Linked DNA regions of Styela clava. The main gene of each other region encodes a partner of the protein of the gene in region 2 in a complex. Links are inferred from orthologs where the notes say so. Each region holds a gene or a part of one and is shown on either strand. Other genes may lie near its edges. The genes, in order: trafficking protein particle complex subunit 9-like, trafficking protein particle complex subunit 8-like and trafficking protein particle complex subunit 12-like.

Region 1 (6,626 bases), about 4.1 Mb from region 2:
CCAGCCCCAGAGAGGAAGAGAATAGTTAGAAAAAGGGGGATTTTGAAGAAAGGAAAAAGGCAGGACCATTTCAATAAATTCTGTTAAATTGTATGTGTTGCAATATTAATTTGCAGTTGTTAGCATAAACATTTAATGTGTCTTTCGACTAGACCTACCACACTTTAAAAAAAGCCGCCTACACCCCTTTTCACTAGAACCATAATACTGTAAAATATTTGATAGAAATTACCCCCGAGGCATCATATCTTCCATTTGAAAGGGCTGTGGAGGCAGATACATTTTTTACTCTAAATTATGGAATGTTACTTCCAGGTTATCTTATCCTTGCTTATAGATATCTTGAGGTTAGTGACTCCAACTGACCCATGCATGCCACACTGAAAATTCTCTTGTGTAGCCATAAAATAATAAGGCTGTTGGAGCCTTCAGACCTTGAAAACAGTCGAATCTGAGCACGATGGATTCATGTGAAACACGTAATATGCATTTAGAGGCAAAAATATCCCATCCTGAGCAGCACCGATCCACAACCTCCTGCCTATGGAATCAAAACATTAGACAAATTGGTGTACTGTGCGCATTCACAAATCTTTGCGAATCAATTGTGCCTTTTGACTAAAGAAAATTTAGCATTGAAATGGTCAATCTCAATATCAACCTAGTATCTGCAGATAAAACCAATTTTTTTTAAAAATACATTTTTGATGTGCTTTATTTTTCAAATATAATTTATAATTACTGTAAAGTGTGTGATACATTTGGTACCATGAATACCATTTGCAAATTAGCTTGGATTACACCCCTTTCAAATAAAAGTTTAGACTCTTAAGTCATATCTCATAATATTCTTTGAACAAAAGGTTGCGGCTAGCCGGCTACCCATCAGAATTTCCTTCCAGATCACAAAGTCGCAATATTACGCCTCGGTAAGTTTCATTGGCAACTGTATCTTGTTGTAGTATCGGTGTCCAACGTTAGACTAAAACCTTCACTACCAGACCCACCGAAACATTTTTTTTTTCTTGATAGGGTCGTCTTGAAGTTGCTTTCGTTAAAGCACAATGGACACTTTATCTCCACCAATCCACAGTAATCACAAGTTACTTTGTCATTACGATAAGCATCAATAAATGGATACTGAGGATGTATTATCAAGTCACGCAAGCTGAGGTCTTGTGCCACTGTGGTCTTGTTGCAACTTATACTTTGCCATCCATCTATTCCATTGTCGCACCCATATCTGTAAGATAATGGATACAGATAGAGTTTTCATAAAATCTAACGATCAAGGAGTGTGAAATTTAAGTCCATATCCCACCACAGCCACTAGTCGTAAATGAATTTGATTCCGGGTAGCATATCTTTTTTACCAATGACAATAAAAAGACATTTTGGATCAGTTGTACAAGCACCATTAGGATAGGATTTATCTGGGGAGGAGCCAGTTATTTGTTTTCAGAAGCATGGACTTGGATGGTGGGGAATGGTCGTAACCGATCAGCGGTCATGTGAACCACCCTCGGTGGGAGTAGAGCTGCAATCCTCTCGCACATAACTATCCGCGCGTGGGATTGAAACCTGTGAAACTACCAGGGTGATCAGAGAGGCGGTGGCGAGCGTATTCCTAGATGGCGAATCAATTGAATTCTGGTTATTTTTTGCATGACCACTGGTGTTAAACTTTAGTTATCTATTCAACCTTTCACACTTAGTAATAGATTACCTGCTAGTTAGGGAAACAATACCTTATAGCAATTGATTATTAATTCCTTACTGTCTCACACAAGTCAAGTCTGCAACTGCAAGTAGGCCCACGCCTAAGCCTACTAATAACAGTAGTTTGTCATCTGCTTTCCATTGAAATGAGGGAGCTTGTGAATATTTGAAAAAATTGATAACGGCACACTATCACCACATTATCACTCACCATCAACGAAGTGCTGTCCGCAAACAGTGAAACACAAGTAATATGGCTTCTGGACTTGACACCAAGCAGTTCTGCCAATAGGCAATAGATGATATCCACATTGCGCGACGTTCCGGATCTTTTGAAATCAGTGGAATATAAATGAAGATCCATTTCGTTGTCTATACTATACGTACAGCTAACGGAACAATACGAAATAACCATTTTCAACAGCCAAACAAAACGGAAACGTATAATCCGACTTGCAACTGACAGGAGCCAAATGGACGTGTTTGTTTTATTGCCGTTCAGTAACAAAGTCACGTGACCCGTGCAAGTCCTCTATATGTTAAATGTACATTTTTCAGTCGCTCAATATCACTGCGGACCCCCTATGTAGTCGTCGCGGACCCCAGTTTGGGAAAACCTGCTCTAGGTTGACGTAACTGAAGTATTCAGTGATAAGGATAAGATAGGATATACATATTTATCCCGGGGGAGAGGAAAGCCGATAAGACGACTTATCCCTATGGCGAACCACGGCCTCTCGTCCGGTTACCATTCCAAGTCGGGTATGGGATTAGTTTTACTGTATTGTTTGTTTTCGGAAGCATGGAATTGATGGTGGAGGAAGCCGTAACCGACCAGCGGTTACGTGAACCACCCAATGACGGCGAGGAGTCCATCCTCTCGCATCTAACCATCCCTGCATGGGATTCAAACCTGCGAACCCACGCAGAGTAATTAGAGGTGCGGTGGCGAGCGTATTCCTAACGCTTAGCCCGTTGAGCCACACCGCCGCGCCTGATGAGGAAATAAAATTAATAGCCTTCTAACGACAGCATAAACTTTCCAATTATCAATTGGCCTGTAGTTGAAGATATTAACAAGAACATAATTGAAAAAACAAAAGCATATGTACATTTCGTGTCCAAAAATAAACTAATATAATCCCGGTTACCGAAATCTTGCAAAAAAAAATCAATGTTCGTGACGTCATCACCGAGTGGATCCGAGTTGGACTCCGACTCCGACCAATGTGACGTCATTACCGATTGTATCCGAGTTGGACTCACCTCCGACCAAGAAATAGCAAAGTTCAGCAGTTGCAGAGTTCTGGAGTTAGTACCGGTACCGGTATAGTTTGGAGACATTTTTACGTTACTGCTGTGCTGTGGTGTCGTAGTGGCGTAATTTCTGAATGCCATAGGTCAAGTGGGGGTTAGGAATAACATATGCAAAAATGGTTGCACAACGCCGAATAGCGAATATAATGTAACTTACGGCTTTAATTTATACCGGTACCGGTACCAGTACCGGTATTGCCTTTGCAGCTTTGGGTCTCATGTAGTTTCGTACCTAACATACTTCTAGTGGGCGTAGCATGACACTTTTTGTCTTGTGAAGGAAACACCGTAACTGCTTAAATACCCCCAAACACAAATGTGGTGGGAAAATGACTGCTGTAAGGCGCGGCGGTGTGGCTCAACGGGCTAAGCGTTAGAAATACGCTCGCCACCGCACCTTTACTTACTCTGCGTGGATTCGCAGGTTCGAATCCCATTCAGGGATGGTTATGTGCGAGAGGATTGCTGGACTCCTCGCCGTCGTTGGGTGGTTCACGTAACCGCTGGTTCGGTTACGGCTTCCTCCACCACCAAGTCCATGCTTCCGAAAACAAACAATATAACTAATCCCATACCCGACTTGGAATGGTAACCGGACGAGAGGCTGTGGTTCGCCATATGGATAAGCCGTCTTATCGGCTTTCCTCTCCCCCGGGATAAATATGTAAATCTTATCTAAGTGCTTCAATAACGTCAAACAAAAATGTGATTTGAAAATACAACCCAAATTTTCATTTTTTTCTAAAAATAAAAGTCTGGCTTGCACGAATACCGTATGCTTACCGCATGGCATGGGACAAAGGGAGGCGGACAACTCAACTCACAAGACAACAGATGAGTCGTCCATCTTTTTGCATTTTCGACGGCGACACTTTAAGACAATACGGGTGTAATTTCGACCTTTTACATTAAAATCTTGAATCACATTTTTTTGTAACTAACAGTTGAGGTTGCGTTAAACTAACTACCTTTCCTTGCTCCTTATGCCTTTGCGCAGGTGGATCCGTATGCGTATTACGCAAGGATGCTGTAGCAAGAGAACATTACATTTCATTGTCACATTTTTTGGGGGTGTAATTTGAGCAGTTACACTGTTACAGCGTTCATTTCATATTACATTTTTGTAAGGCGATATTTAAATATGTAAATCTTATCCTACTGTCATAAGCAGTTACGGCGTTTAGCCTACTTTAGTACCAGTGTATTTATATATCGTACTGTCTGACTTTATATAATGAATATGAGAACTGCATTTTTTTTGACTAATATATACATACAGACATACCGTACGGTACCGGTGTTTTTTGAAACTGTGTACAAGTGTCATAGGTCGAAATATTGCTGTATTGCAGCGACTTTGTAATTTCATTTTTCAATGACAGAATGATATGAAGTACTGAATATATTCTGTATAATTTATTACTACAAAACAAGAAGATGAGCGTTGCTAATTATATGACATCTGCACTGGATCATTCGCAAATCCTCATTGGTGTCAAATATGCTGCAAACATAAACACAGCATCAGTACAGTTTGTCTTGAAGAAATTGGAACTTTACAAATCTCTTGTGATAAATGATGCTGGGTACACAATTAACATTCGATTTGATGATAATGCATCCCCACAAAATAGCCATTGGGGTCCATTACAGGCACATAGACAAGTGTGTGGAATTGTATTTATTGGAGAAGCTATTAATCCAATGGAAGCAGCTTTAATCCTGGATAAATTTAATAAACTGAAAGAGGAGTACAGTCCAGGATTATTGCATTCTAGGTGTATTATCTTTGGAATAGACACAACCATTCGTCCCCACAGTCAAGATGTTTTTCAATTTTCATCTCACAATGCATGGAAATCTGTGGATTATGATATCAAACAGTTTGTCACAGCAATTTTTTATGAGCTGGAATCAAAACGTTTGCGAATGGCTCAAGAAAGAAGTGGAAAACCAATGCTTATAGCCACTCCGTTTGAAAATCCAGATGAAAAAAATGAGTCTGACAGTAAAGTGATGCGCAAAAAATGTTCTGGTCGTCACTATAAGCATCTTGCTGACGTTAACTTGCTGGTGGGACAAATATCTGAAGCATTACAATGTTATCACAGTGCACTTGACATATTGATTCCAATTAATGATACAGTTTGGGTAGGAAGTGCTTTGGAAGGTTTGTGTGTGGTTTCAGCCCTGGTGCATTTTGCTAGTCTGAAAACTGAGAAATCTTCTGTGAATTTCACCCTTGACCCCCGAAATCTTTCTAAAAAGCCAATATCGTCTTTTGCAGCACCTGATGTTAAAAAGCTTTGTATTTCGTCAATGAAAGATTTAGTGGATCGATACAGAGAAGCTATTATTCATTATAGCAGATATAAAAACTTGGCTGTTATTGAAATGGAAGCTTGTATCAAAGCAACAAAAGTATTTGCTGAGGCTAAAAGCTTTTTAGAAGCTTCAGAATTCATTCAAAATGCTGTTTACATCACACTCAATGTTTCAGATACCGAAAGATTACAACGATACAGTGTGATGGCTGATTTATATAAAAGTATAGGATTTTACAGAAAATCTGCATTTTACAAACGAGTGGCTGCGATGCAATGTGTAGCACATCATATCAAAGAACCTGATTGGAAACTTTGCAACAGACTTTTATTGAACACAATATCATGTCCGACTAAACACTCTATCATCTCCCCATACCTTAAAAACAGACATGGATGGCCAAGTATTAGTCTTAGAATATTACATGAACTTGTATATTCTTTGGAAAAAATTAATAATCATAGTCTTGCACTTCGTTATTTGCTTTATTTGATTTTGAATATGTTTCCTTATTTGTCTGAAACTGATGAAAAGGCAACTTGCTCTGCATTGGAAAATTATGTCAAGAAAAATATTAGTGTACTCGATAGCACATCACCTGAACTCAACTTCTATGTTTTACCAGTCATAACTAAGATTTCTCCTTTATTTGAAGATGATGGAATGAGACCAACAAAGTCTAAAACTGAATCTGATGCTCAAAGTGTTTTTATTTACACACCAACGATTAGACAGTCACAAACACACGAGCTTAAAAAAATTTGTTTTAGATGGTGTGTAAACACAATGTTCGAGATTATAGTACATGTATTTAATCCACTTTCTCATTGCAGTATCAAGATATCAGAATTTTCGCTGATTCTTGATTCAAACAGTTCAGCTATAGATTGTCAACCACAGACTTTTAACATTGCGCCGCAATCATCCTTTGAAGTCGGGATTAAAGTAACTCCAGTAGAATTAGGTACAGTCACTATTATTGGATATGCATTTTCAATGTATGGAGTTTATGCAAAATGTTACTTCAACAAAAATGATAACATTGAAACAACTGAAGTACAGATTCAAGTTATTGGTGACTTGCCGTTACTAAAGTGCATCAAGGATGACAAATGTAAAGAAGAGGAAGGGAAGCCTTTAATTGTATATTATTTTGGTGAAAAGACAAACTTACCATTCCATCTTACCAACATTGGAAAACAACCAATTTGTGATTGGAATATTTTAATTAAAACTAAACACAACATGCAAGACATATTAATAAA
Region 2 (6,626 bases):
ATATGAGTATTCATTAAAGTGAAAGGCCAAGTTAATTGCGAGTGAGTAGAGTAGACAATTACATATTGATTTGTAGCTCTGTGTCTTTTGCGAGAAACCTTTTTGCGTGATCCATTGATTTGACATAAATACAGCTTGTACAAATATCATATACTTGTACTTCGTTGCCGGTACGGTACCTTATTTGCCTGTACCGGTACCGTATGATTCAAATCGAATCTTTTCAACCTTGAAACTTAACCCTATCTTAGTCTATTTGCTAACGAACACTTTGCTTGGACTGAAATGTTTTCGCGCAAAAATACTTCCCGTGAGTGAGAAACCAACAGTCAAGTGTGCCGTCATGGTGTTGGAAGTGGCCGTCTGTAGCCTTGATTCAGGTTCAGAATTCAGATTGTGACTTGTGATTGCAGGATCAGGGTTGCCAGACCCCAGCGATCAAAAAAAGCCAAATCAAGACATAAAAAAGCCAACAATTTTACTAAGTACAAAAGCCCCATGATTTGTCAGATTTTAAGCCCTTGGCAACGTACCGTACTGATGATGATGTAGAGCCATCAGTTCATTCAGTGAGGCACACAAATAGAAAGTAAAGTTCCTATAGAACTGTAGAAAGTAAAATGAATATCAAGCGGACAGCATTATTTTACCATTCAATATATACAATACAGGGTGCTGCTTCAGTCTGTCAGAATGTAATATAAGTTACCTACATGTTTCTACTTAAACTTGTGATATACCTTAAAAAATTCTCCCGTTATCTTACTTTACTATTGAAAATATTTTCATTTTTAAAATTTATAAACCATCAATTTTATTAAAAAATTATCTAACCCCTTGCCGCTCACAGGTCTGCAGGTGGACCACTTATATCTAATTCAGTAATTTTAGCGTCGTTAATCACATCGTTACTGCAATTGCAGAATTAAACTAAAGCTCACATAAACCATATCAGGCATAATGAAAATTAAGTTAATACAACTATTTTTTCGGAAACAGAACGTAAAACAGACAAATAACTTGTAAAACTATAAAAAGGAGGAAATGTTTACAACCCTGCTTGAACATCTGTCTGAGCAGCTGCAGAAACTGCGATCATTTCTTATTGGGTATGTTTAAGAGTTGATGTAACAAACAAGGAAATCGATGCCCCAGGAAATCCTAATGTTAAGTAGCTAAGTACAGGTAATAGGGTATTGTTCAGTTGTTACACACTAAATATTGTATTTCATATGATTTTAATAATAGACACTAGAATACGAGGTGTGGCTAAAAAGAAACGAGACTGACGTCACAGATTGCGCAACACGATTAACCATTGGTAATCAACACTTTTACAGTGTGGTGTAATATGTGTTCTTTGTTCAACAGCTTTTTTGACACAATATCGCAATTATTTTTGCTCTTTAGGAGCCATAGGTGAATGTGATTAATTGCTTGTTGAAAAAAAAATTGCCGTGCGAGATCTGATTGAGTTTTTTGGCGATAGGGGGTTCAATTGCAGAATGACGATTGAGCAATGAATTAACATTAAATTTTGTGTCAAACTTGGAAAAATGCATGTCAACTGGGCAACATTTAATCGTTGAGCTTTCTGCTCCTCAGTCAACAGCCTTGGCACCATTTTGGCACTCACCTTTCACAAGCCAAAAGTGTCAACCAAACTGGTGCGAACCGTTTTTTTTTGTCTTTTCCAACTTCGCAATGACGCGAATTGTTGAGCGACGGTCGCTGCGAATCAACTGCCTTTCACAACTGAACTCACAACTGATACCTTTTCGATGTTGGTATCAGTTGTGGAAGTGCAAGGCCTTCCTGACTTCGAATCATCCTCCACATCCTCCCTGCATCCCACAAATCGCTTGTGCCATTCAAAAACTCTTGTTCTGGACATGGAAGAATCTCCATAAACATCACACAATTTCTTCAAAGTCGCAGTCGCCGTTTTTCCAAGTTTGACACAAAATTTAATGTTAATTCATTGCTCAATCGTCATTCTGCAATTGAACCCCCTATCGCCAAAAAACTCAATCAGATCTCGCACGGCAATTTTTTTTTCAACAAGCAATTAATCACATTCACCTATGGCTCCTAAAGAGCAAAAATAATTGCGATATTGTGTCAAAAAAGCTGTTGAACAAAGAACACATATTACACCACACTGTAAAAGTGTTGATTACCAATGGTTAATCGTGTTGCGCAATCTGTGACGTCAGTCTCGTTTCTTTTTAGCCACACCTCGTAGACTTGAAAAAAGCCAAACGGAAATTCTGAGGCCAAACGCGTTTGAAAAAAGCCAAAAATGGCAAATTTGGCGTTAAAAAAGCCAATATGGCAACCCTGTGCAGTATCGTGACTTAGTTTATATAGACTTATACTTATATATCTACAATTTTCGCCAGATTACGCCAATCCTTTTCCTGTTTTCACTGTTCCAACTTTTCCTGTATTCACGGAATATTATATTTGACATGCTTGCTTTATATTTTACTTATAGTCATAAATTATAGAATGGCTGAAAGCTTGAAAAGTACTCATGATTTTATAAAAAGTGCATTTTCAATTCGAGTTGGTGTCCTTTCCAGCCAAGATGCTGAATTTGTCAGCCAGAAGAATAATCTGTCATTTTCTGAACTGATTCAACCATTCTGTACGTTAACAAATGAAGCGAAAATTCAAGGAATTGGTGCTCAAGTATACCGAGCTTATAATGTCCATGTACGCGTGTCAGACATTCGACAAAAATATGCTAGTATCGATAAAAATATTATACGTCAAATGATAGCGGATTTGGTTTCAAAATCAGGTTCCAGTGATAATATACAAACCATATCTGTTCCATGTAAGGAATATGACTTGTCTGTGAATCGTTCATGTCCGTGGATGGATACTTACAGAGATATGATGGTTAAATTCGGACCTCCGCAAGATCATGAGTTTTTGAATCATCATATTGCTTGTATGTTAGTCGTATCATCACTTCATCCAAACCCAATGCAAGAATTTGCGAATCTGAGCCAACTTCAAAATCATATCCAACATGGTGAAAAAAATAACGATTCTTTGAGATGGATGACGCCAAATACATTAAAATATTTTGTTCTTCTTCATGATGCGCAACAAAGCGATGATAGTAAAGCGAAGGAAGTTTTTGCAACATTGCAAGCAACATATGGAACAAAAGTTTGTCATTTTTTATGTATAAACTCCAGGAATGTATCGAACTCCGAGGGTGCGCAAAATTTGCCTGATCCATGGCATCAGTTTATGAATTCTTCAACGTCTTCTCTGAAAAATAATGTAACTGATGTTGCTTATTCTAAAATATCCACAGTGAACGGAACCAATTCTGAAGAAAATCAACCATGGTTCAATGATATCATAAAAAATTCGAAAACGTCTGTCGAAAAAGGGTTTGGATGTTGTCTTACTATGGCTGATCATGATGGTCTGCAATCCTTCATGCATGATTTTATAGTTTCTGCACTTATACCTCATATGGAAAAAACAATAAAAAATATCAACGACCAGCTGTCAGCAAGAAAAGCGTTACATAAATCATTGTTTCGTGCGACAAGAACTTTATTTGGATCTAGTAAATCACCATCTAGTGTTGCTTCCACATCAGGTTATAGTCATGATGCGAATGAATTGCTTTTGAGAAAGATCGCAGATTTGTGTTTTCTGTCACAGATGTACGACCAAGCTTTTTACTTTTATCATAATGCAAAGAAGGATTACACGAACGACCAAGCTTGGTTGTACGCTGCTGGTGCATCTGAGATGGCTGCCACATCCAATTTCATGCAACGCAACACTCAGAAAACTTATCCTTCTCACTACATGGAATCTGCGATAACGATGTACATTGATGTATGTAAAAATGACTACCTTGCCCTTAGATGCTCACTGATACATGCTGAATGTTTACAGTTTCTAGGACAGTTCAATGAAGCAGCATTTTATTTGATAAAAGTCACAAATGAAACAGATGATCTGAGGAGTGCATTACTTTTGGAGCAAGCTGCACATTCTTATCTCAAAATGAAAGAACCGCAGCCTAAAAAGTTTGCATTTCACTTGATCTTAGCAGGTCACCGATTTAGCAAATGTGCCCAAAGAGCACATGCACTGCGTAGCTATAACCTTGCCCTCCAAGTATATCTGGGCCAAGGATGGAGTCTAGCTGAAGATCATATTAATTTTGCCATGGCAAGACAGTCTTTTAACATGAAACATTTATTGGATTCATCGAATTCATTTCGCAGTCTTCTTGTTCAGGAATCTTCTCAACCTTCATCCCAGCAAGCTGCATTTTTTCATGAATTTATTCATATATTTCAACAATGTGAACAGTTAAATGATGCGAAAGTGGAAAATGCAATGTTAGGTTTACCAAAATTACTTGAATCGGAAACGAAAGTTTGTCTCGATCAGAGCGATAATGACTTTACACCGGAATTTAATACCAAGATGTCTAAATTGGTAAATTTACTTTTGGATTCGGAACCTTTACTGCCTGGTACTGTTGTCAGCGGAATGAAATGCTTCTGTAAATCAACTTCTAATGTTAAAAGTCCACAGTTGGCTGTGGGGGAAGTTGTTAATATCGAAGTGACATTTCAAAACTACCTGGATATTCCGATTTGCATGTCGGATATTACAATAAAATGGGATTTCAAGCTGCCTGAAAAAGAAAATTCACAGCTTATTGAAGGTGACATATTTCAATGTAGTTCTGTGCCTATTCTGACCATTCCTCCACTGACTAAGAAAACAGCCCTTTTTACTGCTAAACCTCTTAAACCAGGAGTGCTGACAGCATTGGGGACATCTTATAAATTAGGATTGTCTTCAAGTGATAGTTCAGAAGACACTGAACATGATACTAGCTATTCTGTGAAAGACTATCAACCGTTTAATATTCTTGGTCGGAGATTGAATAAAACGAAAGATGAAAGATGTGGTGTTATGTACGGTACTGATCAAAGATTGAATTTTCATGTTCTCCCTGTTTTGCCAAAAATGTCCGCAACATTTGATAATTTTCCAACCACAATGGTGTGCAATGAAGTTGTCAATACAACAATAAGGCTACAGAATACGGGCAATGTTCAACTTGATATCGTCAAGATACTTGCGAATGACAAAGTTCAGTTTACCATATGCGGTACAAATGGTCACAAGTTTATTTTACCCAATGTTATTACAACCGATTCAAAATCTAAGAAGATTAAATTTACTAATGTGTTGTCAGAGCCTTTATTACCAGGAAAATCTGTGAAAATGGACGTTTGCATTAAAGCACCTGCAACTAGTGGAATTCATCAAGCAGATGCTTTAGTGTACTGTAAATCAAATTGTATTGTTGATGGACCATCGGGTCGTACTTTCTTCATTAGAAATCATATTGAATGTACAGAAGGTGTTGATATTCTGGCTGAATTAATGACTCCTGTGAACCAAGAAAATTTTATAATATCTTTACGGGTACGAAATGCTTCAACGAAAGATTCATGGATGCTTTTTATTGAGGATGTAACATGCTCAAATTCAAGCTGTGTTGTAGAAATAGTGGGTGATAAAAAGCTACCAGCTTTATCAGTAAACAACCATCTATATATGTACCTCAATCTGGCAAAGAAGTTTGATGTTGATTCTGAGAAGCGAGATTTGTACGAGCCCCCTGAAATCATCATTCATTGGAAAGGTGGTTATAATGATGCGTTTATGTACGGCCAACACCAATTGGATTTAAAAGATCTTTTTGAAGGTCTAGGTACATTCTCAACCCCTGAAACTATGCCTGTTAAAATTTCTGATAACATGCCCAAATCAGCAGAGGAATTTTCTCTTCAAACTTTACATCGATTAGTAACATGGAGACTCAGGTATAATTCTACAATAAAACATGATTTTACTGCGAACAGTCTATGTCATACTGATATGACATTAATGGTGTATAATCTCAGCAATTTGAAGCTGCATGTAACCGTCAGTTTGCCGAATGTGGAGGACAATTTTGGAAAACGTCAATCTCATACGGACTTTGCATGGGTTGGTGCTACCGAAGCAAAGAGACTTCTCGCTCCTCACAGTGAAATCAAAGTAAATTTGAAGGCTTGTTTTGCGCGTAGGGGTGTATTTAACGTCAGTGGTGTGAGCGTGACAGCTATTCCGATGCACCTTATGGGAACGACACCTCAAATTCCTCAAAAACCACCTTGTGGATATTTCATAAATATTGAATAGTTGAAAAATTTTAGCAAAACGTTAGGTAAAGTGCAATATACATGTATTCACAGAATTGTCATCTCACAGTTGTTCAAAACGCCGTTTTTGTTATTATATTGAGCCTACTATTAGTTATATATTAATATTGAGCAAGTCCAATGATCAGGATAAAATGTTCAAATCCAATAATCTTGTAAGAGGTATATTCTTTGTTATCAAAACCAATAAGATGGAAAGTTCACACTTCAAGCATACTGAGTAATTTTATTGAAAATTGCATTTATGTACCCTTTCTTGTGAATAGCGAATCTGAATTCTGACTTACCAAATTATTTTAATATTTTCTGCACCATGGTCTGTGTGATTGCATTTATCAATACAAAATGATTTGA
Region 3 (6,626 bases), on a different chromosome or scaffold from region 2:
TATAGCCATCTTAGTCTACTCAAAAATCTAGGCTATTGTGGTCTTTGGTTTAAATGCTATCAGTATATTTATATGCAGATGACAACTCTGAAGACAGCGACAATGATAGTTTGAAGTCTGCTGAAGATGAGAATGAAAGTGAAATTTCCACCTCATCCTCTTGTACAGTTTGCGTTAGAAATATGACAAAAGAAGAAAAAAGATTACATAAACAAAAAGTCAAAGAAGAAAATAGAGAAAAAAGAAATAACAAAGTTCCGAAACACATAAAAAAGAGAAAAGAAAAATTAGCTAAACTTAGGAAACCAAAAACATAATTTGAAGGTGCATTGATGGATTTGTTTTGTGTTCGTTCGGGATGGTTGAAGCCAGGTATATTGCAGTATTGTGCTGCTTAGGCAGGGATTGCATTCTGTCATATACTTAAAAACAAAGCAATGGCCAGAAATACTTCCCTATACGGTCTAATATGTTCATGACATAGTTTAATCCGGAGCGTATATGCTAAACAGGCGACGGCACAAATCGCAGGTAAAAAGGTAAATTTGAGAGGAATGAGGTCGCTGTAAATGTAGGGAAAATACACATCACATTAGGAAAAGATTGTGAGGCGAACTGATCCTAGGGTAAAGGGTGCATTGAATGACCAGACCAGAAATTCCGCAGTACAAGCCTCGGCGTGACAAACGCCGGAGCCCAAGCGCGAAACGGCCGAGAATGCGTGCAAAATCTAAATTTAAGCGTGTAAAAAATAGGACGAACAAATAGATACATTAGTATTGAAGGGGAGCGTCCCAATTCGTTGCAACACTGGCGCTTTGATTGACGCAGAGCATTGGGTCCCAATTTGGCGAAAGGACGGCGACATTGGGTAGTTGAGTTATTGCCCAAAATAACGTGATGGAGGCCTCTTGCGTTTACCTTTCATCCGTCCGCTCAATATATATATTGAAACGAAATATATTACAGTAGTTAACATCCTTATACGGCCAGTGCCTTTATTGGGACAATTGAAAATCCAAGTCAGAGACTTATCCAGTTTACAATTCTGCTATTGTAGTCTGATCGGTCTGATGTAAATGACTGTTCACAGGATTGATGCCTCGCCCCATGATGGCGCCATTTATGACGAAAGTTTCGCCGCATCAGCGTTGAAAAATATATTACGTTATATGAATGTGAGTTTCAAAATCTGGATTACAAAAAGTATCACGTTCAGACGTTTGAAGTAATGCGCGTTTAGTATTGCCTGGGAACAGTCAGTTTGTTATGTTAGAATTTTCAGCACTTTTTTCTCGGACCGGACGAGAGGCCGCCGTGGTTTGCCATCTATTTTATACCGTATTGTGTATACATAATATATTCCCTTTTATTTTAAAAAAGCTTTCATTTTTCTAAAGACGATCTGTATTACTGCAGTACTGTGATACCAGCCAAAGCTGAAAAATATTCCTTTGTGCCTTTTAAGCATAGCTTAAAAGTTGTTCGTTCTTCTGAGTATTATTCATGCAGAACTTTACATTATCAGTTATATGACCAATTAGTATTTGTAAGTTACTAATTTAACTAGTTCAACTTTATTAAAGTCTTTATTATGTCATATAAGGACAGAAGACCGAGTGCTCCACTCGATTGCAAAGTGTACGTTGGAAATCTTGGAGATGGAGCTTCACGAAGTGAATTGGAAATTGAATTCGGACATTTTGGAAGATTAGTAAGTGTATGGGTTGCCAGAAAACCACCAGGCTTCGCGTACGTTGAATTTGAAGACCCAAGAGATGCTAAAGACGCTGTCAGAAGTTTAGATGGAACAACGCTTTGTGGACGTCGAGCGAAAGTTGAACTTTCACATGGGCAAAAAAGAAATAGAAATTTTCGACCCAGTTACAGTGATCGACCACCGAGACGTGACATGTCAGAAGTCCGATGCTATACATGTAATCAAACTGGACATATCGCTAGGAACTGTCGGGAAGGTGGCAAATCACGTTCTCGATCTCCAAGAAGAAGATACTCCCGCTCCAGGTCTCATTCTCCGTCTCGTTCCCGAAGTCCGTCTCCGAAATATTCACGTTCTCGATCTCGAAGCAGAACGCCTGAAGATAAACGCCAGAGTCGTTCTCGTTCACGCAGCAGATCTCGAAGCTGAATATTTAAACAAAAAAACACAAATGACGCCATTAATTCGAAGAAGGAACCAAACAACGTCAAATATAAATCGCAGAGTTTAACTTTGCGAAGTTTGCAGATGTTGGATAGCTCAATATGGATTGGAGATTGTTATGACTTATTGGACTGTATATATACTGTCTTTTTGTTAATGATTTGCTATGTACAAATATTTTCGTACTTGAATTATTGTGGAATTTGACGGCCAATATTAAGTATCTAATTCTTGGTTTCAAAGGTTTTTTTTCGTACTGCGCCATAATTTTAGAGATGTATCTAACCCAACGACTGTAGCTTTAATGTTTGAGCGAGATCACAATCATTCATCGATGAAATGCTGTATGAAAATTTAAGGAAAGACTTAATTGTATATTTCTAAGTATACCGTGCCACAATTATCTTGAAGAGTTCAGCAATTTAATTTCTTTTGCGTCATTTTGAATTTAGAAAATTCAATGCAGAATTTGCTGTCAACCATTCGAATTAGTGAATGGCTACTATTCGTCTCTTTCTCTCTTTCATTTGGCATAGCTTGTTGTCCAATATGTTACTGTCATTGGCTTGTTTTTAAAATAGGATAACATGAAAAATTACAAAACTAAAATGGATGAGGTCACTTTTCATAGGGTATGCGCTATGATAATTGTCATCAGGGATGTCCAAATTTGGATTTGACTGGTTATCTATCAAAACAATGCTTATCTTACAGTCTTATCTATTCTACATTACCAAATTTAGTTTCTATCAATTTACAGTGCTTTTTATCAATTTTTTTGCAGTACGTTTTCCAGCTCATTATATATCAATAGCCTACTCGAAAATATAAATGTAGAATGTATTTGAAACATTGAACTATTCAATTTTGGACATGCTAGCTTATTATTTCTATAAATACACTTTCTGGATTCCCATTGCGTAATGTCCGATAAGCTTTGAATACATCTGATAACTGACTTTTCATGTAATATTAACACTGACTTCTTACTGCCGTGATTTTAGAAGATATATAAATTGTCTAGATATAGTTGTGAGGTATGGCTGATGGAGGTGGCGACGTCCAAAACAACCAATTACCGAATGAACCCATCCCGGTTTGTACCCTTTTCAGTGATGGGTCAATCGACACAACATTATCTCAGAAAGAATTGAAAAAAGATTTTTCTGGCGTGTCCAATTCACAAAACGTGGTTCAAGTTAAAGAAAATGAATCAAAAGAGCCTGAGTTGTGTGATGTGTTTGGAAGTGGCAATTCGATTCCTACATCATCTGGTGATGATATATTTTCGAAAATTTCAGAAGACGCAAAAGCGGATGAAGCCGCTCACGATCATTCATTTACATCTGAGAGCATAGATGATAGCAGTATTTCAACCCCAATGACAGAATCCATAAAATTAACCCCTTCAATGGAAACGCTGCGATTGAATCGCTCAGTCGATTCATTCATTGTCGAAGAATTAATAGAATCTGATGAAATTCCTGAAAACCCAGGTAAAATGGCTCAGGATGTATTATTAAATGAATCACAGCCAGTGCCTTCGGCAGGAATACCATCGTTTTCAATATCGCCAGATGATATGGTGAACACAGAATCTGCTATCTCTGATTTACCAAACGATATTGAAGTGGATGATATCATTGAAGACGCTTCAACGGAAATTGAGAAACTATCATTAGAAGATCCAAATGTAAAACAACTTTCAGAAAATGAAAACACCTCGATACAAGAATCTAAAATGACTTATGAAGAATCGAAAACTACCGAAATCAACGAGACTGAAGAAGTATCTACGCAACAAACGGCTACTGAAACCGAAATTCAACCTGAAATTCCAACTACTGGTTTATTATTCACCTCTGTTCAAGATAAGCAACAAACTTTGTTTCCAAGTCCAGTGTCTGAACGACATGGTATAGAAATAGAGGAAGGTAAGTAAAGGGTTAATATCTGCTTGTATTTGCATTCTTATTATATGTTAATAAAGTACTTTTCAGCTTTTGGGCTCAGATCTAAATAATTTACTCAATCTGAAGTGACCGCTGATAATTAATATATTTTGCAATAGCTGGCAAAATGTTTTTACCATTTGCTAGTGGTTTTTCTCCTTGATGAGAATAAGATATTTGTTCAAAAACTTCTCTTAAAATCTTATTTTCAAATGGTATGCCAAGTGCTTTAATAAATTCTACGTTTTATTCTAATTGTAAATATCAATTATGAACTAACATTGCTTACATATGCAAAAGTTTGTCTTATATTTGATCGTCTGTATCAAAAATTATGTTGTAACAATTGCGTATACTTTCCCAATTTTCCACAGATGACCCGTTTGCTGCCGCTTTGAGTAACAGTGTTCTTGATCGAAGACGTGATGCCTGGCTACCTTGTGAAGACACTAGAGCCATATTGACCGCTGCAATTGTGAACCATAAATCTCCTGATTTAGAAATGGAGAAGATTACTAGACCAGGATTATCTACCAGTGAATTGTTAGGTTTGTATTATTGGTATGATTTGGAGTTTTTCATTGAGGTTTGAATTTCTAAAATGATTTTCCGTCCCTTGAAAATGATAAATTGGAACTTTTTCGGCATTTGGCTTTTCTCTTAATTTGCCCTAACCCTGTGGGTTTGCAGGTTCGTATCATGTGGAGGATAGTCATATACTATCGATTTGCTGGACGTCATTGCTGTCAAAAGGTGGTTCACATAATAACCATTGGTCAGTTACAGCTTCATGCATGTGAAACAACTGATCAACATTTCGCATACCAAGATTGGTAACTGAATGAGGGGCCCATGATTCATAACATGAATACACCTTACTGTTGGCTTTTCCAGAATAAATATAAATATGAAAAATTTTAAATTACCGTAGATTGGTATTCTTGTTTTGTGCCTATTTTCTAACCTCACAAAAATTTTTGTGTGATATAAAATAACAGTTCCCTTTTTCTGTAGAGGATCCAGTCAAAGAGCTTGTCGTAAGAATGACGGGGTCAGAGAATGTTGTGAAACGTGGCAATCTGACAATGGACGATGTCACTCTCAATAAAGATGGAATCAAAAAACTGATGGTACATTTTCAATCATAGCACAAGAATGGAATTTTATGATTTTAACCAAATTTTTAATTTGATACATTTCAAAATCAGGCGCAGAATATAATGAAGTCAGTTTTTTTTTTCATTTTACAGGAATCTGGCAATCTACGATCTGCTGCAAACCTGTGTGCTAAACTATTAACAACTCATGGTCAAGGATTTGGTCAAGTTACACGAATGACACTCAATACATCAGAAACATTACAGGTTTGATTTTACTTAGTTGCAGCCTGTTGGTAGAAAATTAATAAGTCAATAAGCTGTCAATGATACTGATTTTTATTGTGGGCATGATATGGTATAAAGTAGAGCTAATGAAAGCAATACTCAAATGGAAAGCTAAAAATATTATACCGAATAATAAAAACGGAGTGAGTATTCATGCAAGTCAAAACTATTGGCAAATTTAATATTGCATTATTTCTTTACTAGCTAATTTTGAATATGTTTATTAATTTGTGTTGTTTTGTTTGTAGTTGTGGTACACTCGCATATATATCCTCACAAAATTAAAACTATATGACATGGCTACAAGTGAAATTTCTACTTTCAAAAATCTCGACAATGCAGACTTGTACTATGAATTTTATCCTGATGTCTATCCAGGTGAGAATTATTTTTATTCATATATGATCATTTAATTATGCCTTTAACTTAACGTAGTGCTCAAGATGGAGGGTAGTGCCCAAAAAAAACAGGGCATCGCATCCTTCAAAGTGTTAGTAGTCAACATACTGATTACCCTGCATTGGTTTGACTTCTATGTGGTTGATTATATTATTATGAACAAATTAGCTCTTCTCGTGCCTAGGCTATTGGAGTGGCTGTGGTCTTCTGCAGTATTCTTCTAGCTTATACTGATTTCCATAAAATTTTCTTTCCATTTTTAGGTCGTCGAGGATCCATGGTTCCATTTTCATTTCGACTTCTCCATGCTGAGTTCCCACGTCATGTCGACAGAGCTCAATTATCATTGGCTCGTCTGCACAGAATATTAAATGTTTGTGATAAGGTAAGAAGTTTATTTGATAAACAGAAATGTATTTTTACAAAATTTTGCACAAAAATATGTGATATAATGACAAACTTCAATATGTCAAAAAATAATCTTTTAATGCATTCGAATCTGAGAATCTCCCACTGTTTAAACATTAGCACCAGAAATTTACTAAACGAATCGAATATTCTAATCTATAGAAATTCATCATTTCCAATATTTCAAACTCTGAATTGAATTTAATCCATGAAAACTGTAAAAATAGAAAACAAATCAAAACACTGTTTATCTGCATTGATTTTGACTTGTATGTATCCTGTGAACATGGCCCAATTTAGGTATTCCATTTTCGAATA

Evidence for each region.
Region 1: trafficking protein particle complex subunit 8-like (region 2) and trafficking protein particle complex subunit 9-like share a complex: the UniProt entries of both Homo sapiens proteins name them as parts of the multisubunit TRAPP (transport protein particle) complex. The link is inferred for Styela clava from reciprocal best matches to the Homo sapiens genes TRAPPC8 and TRAPPC9.
Region 3: trafficking protein particle complex subunit 8-like (region 2) and trafficking protein particle complex subunit 12-like share a complex: the UniProt entries of both Homo sapiens proteins name them as parts of the multisubunit TRAPP (transport protein particle) complex. The link is inferred for Styela clava from reciprocal best matches to the Homo sapiens genes TRAPPC8 and TRAPPC12.

What each region holds. Positions count from the first base shown.
Region 1 is NC_135261.1:13,762,652-13,769,277, reverse strand, and holds the start of trafficking protein particle complex subunit 9-like, read left to right. Parts: upstream 1-3,209; 5' UTR 3,210-4,473; coding exon 4,474-6,626. UniProt on the Homo sapiens protein: Functions as an activator of NF-kappa-B through increased phosphorylation of the IKK complex. May function in neuronal cells differentiation. May play a role in vesicular transport from endoplasmic reticulum to Golgi.
Region 2 is NC_135261.1:17,900,033-17,906,658, forward strand, and holds the start of trafficking protein particle complex subunit 8-like, read left to right. Parts: upstream 1-2,403; 5' UTR 2,404-2,511; coding exon 2,512-6,252; 3' UTR 6,253-6,626. UniProt on the Homo sapiens protein: Plays a role in endoplasmic reticulum to Golgi apparatus trafficking at a very early stage. Maintains together with TBC1D14 the cycling pool of ATG9 required for initiation of autophagy. Involved in collagen secretion.
Region 3 is NC_135264.1:11,782,590-11,789,215, forward strand, and holds the start of trafficking protein particle complex subunit 12-like, read left to right. Parts: upstream 1-3,179; 5' UTR 3,180-3,203; coding exon 3,204-4,098; intron 4,099-4,490; coding exon 4,491-4,664; intron 4,665-5,130; coding exon 5,131-5,246; intron 5,247-5,366; coding exon 5,367-5,480; intron 5,481-5,749; coding exon 5,750-5,879; intron 5,880-6,163; coding exon 6,164-6,285; intron 6,286-6,626. Other genes in the region: serine/threonine-protein kinase RIO1-like, read left to right, coding at 79-317; serine/arginine-rich splicing factor 3-like, read left to right, coding at 1,595-2,149. UniProt on the Homo sapiens protein: Component of the TRAPP complex, which is involved in endoplasmic reticulum to Golgi apparatus trafficking at a very early stage.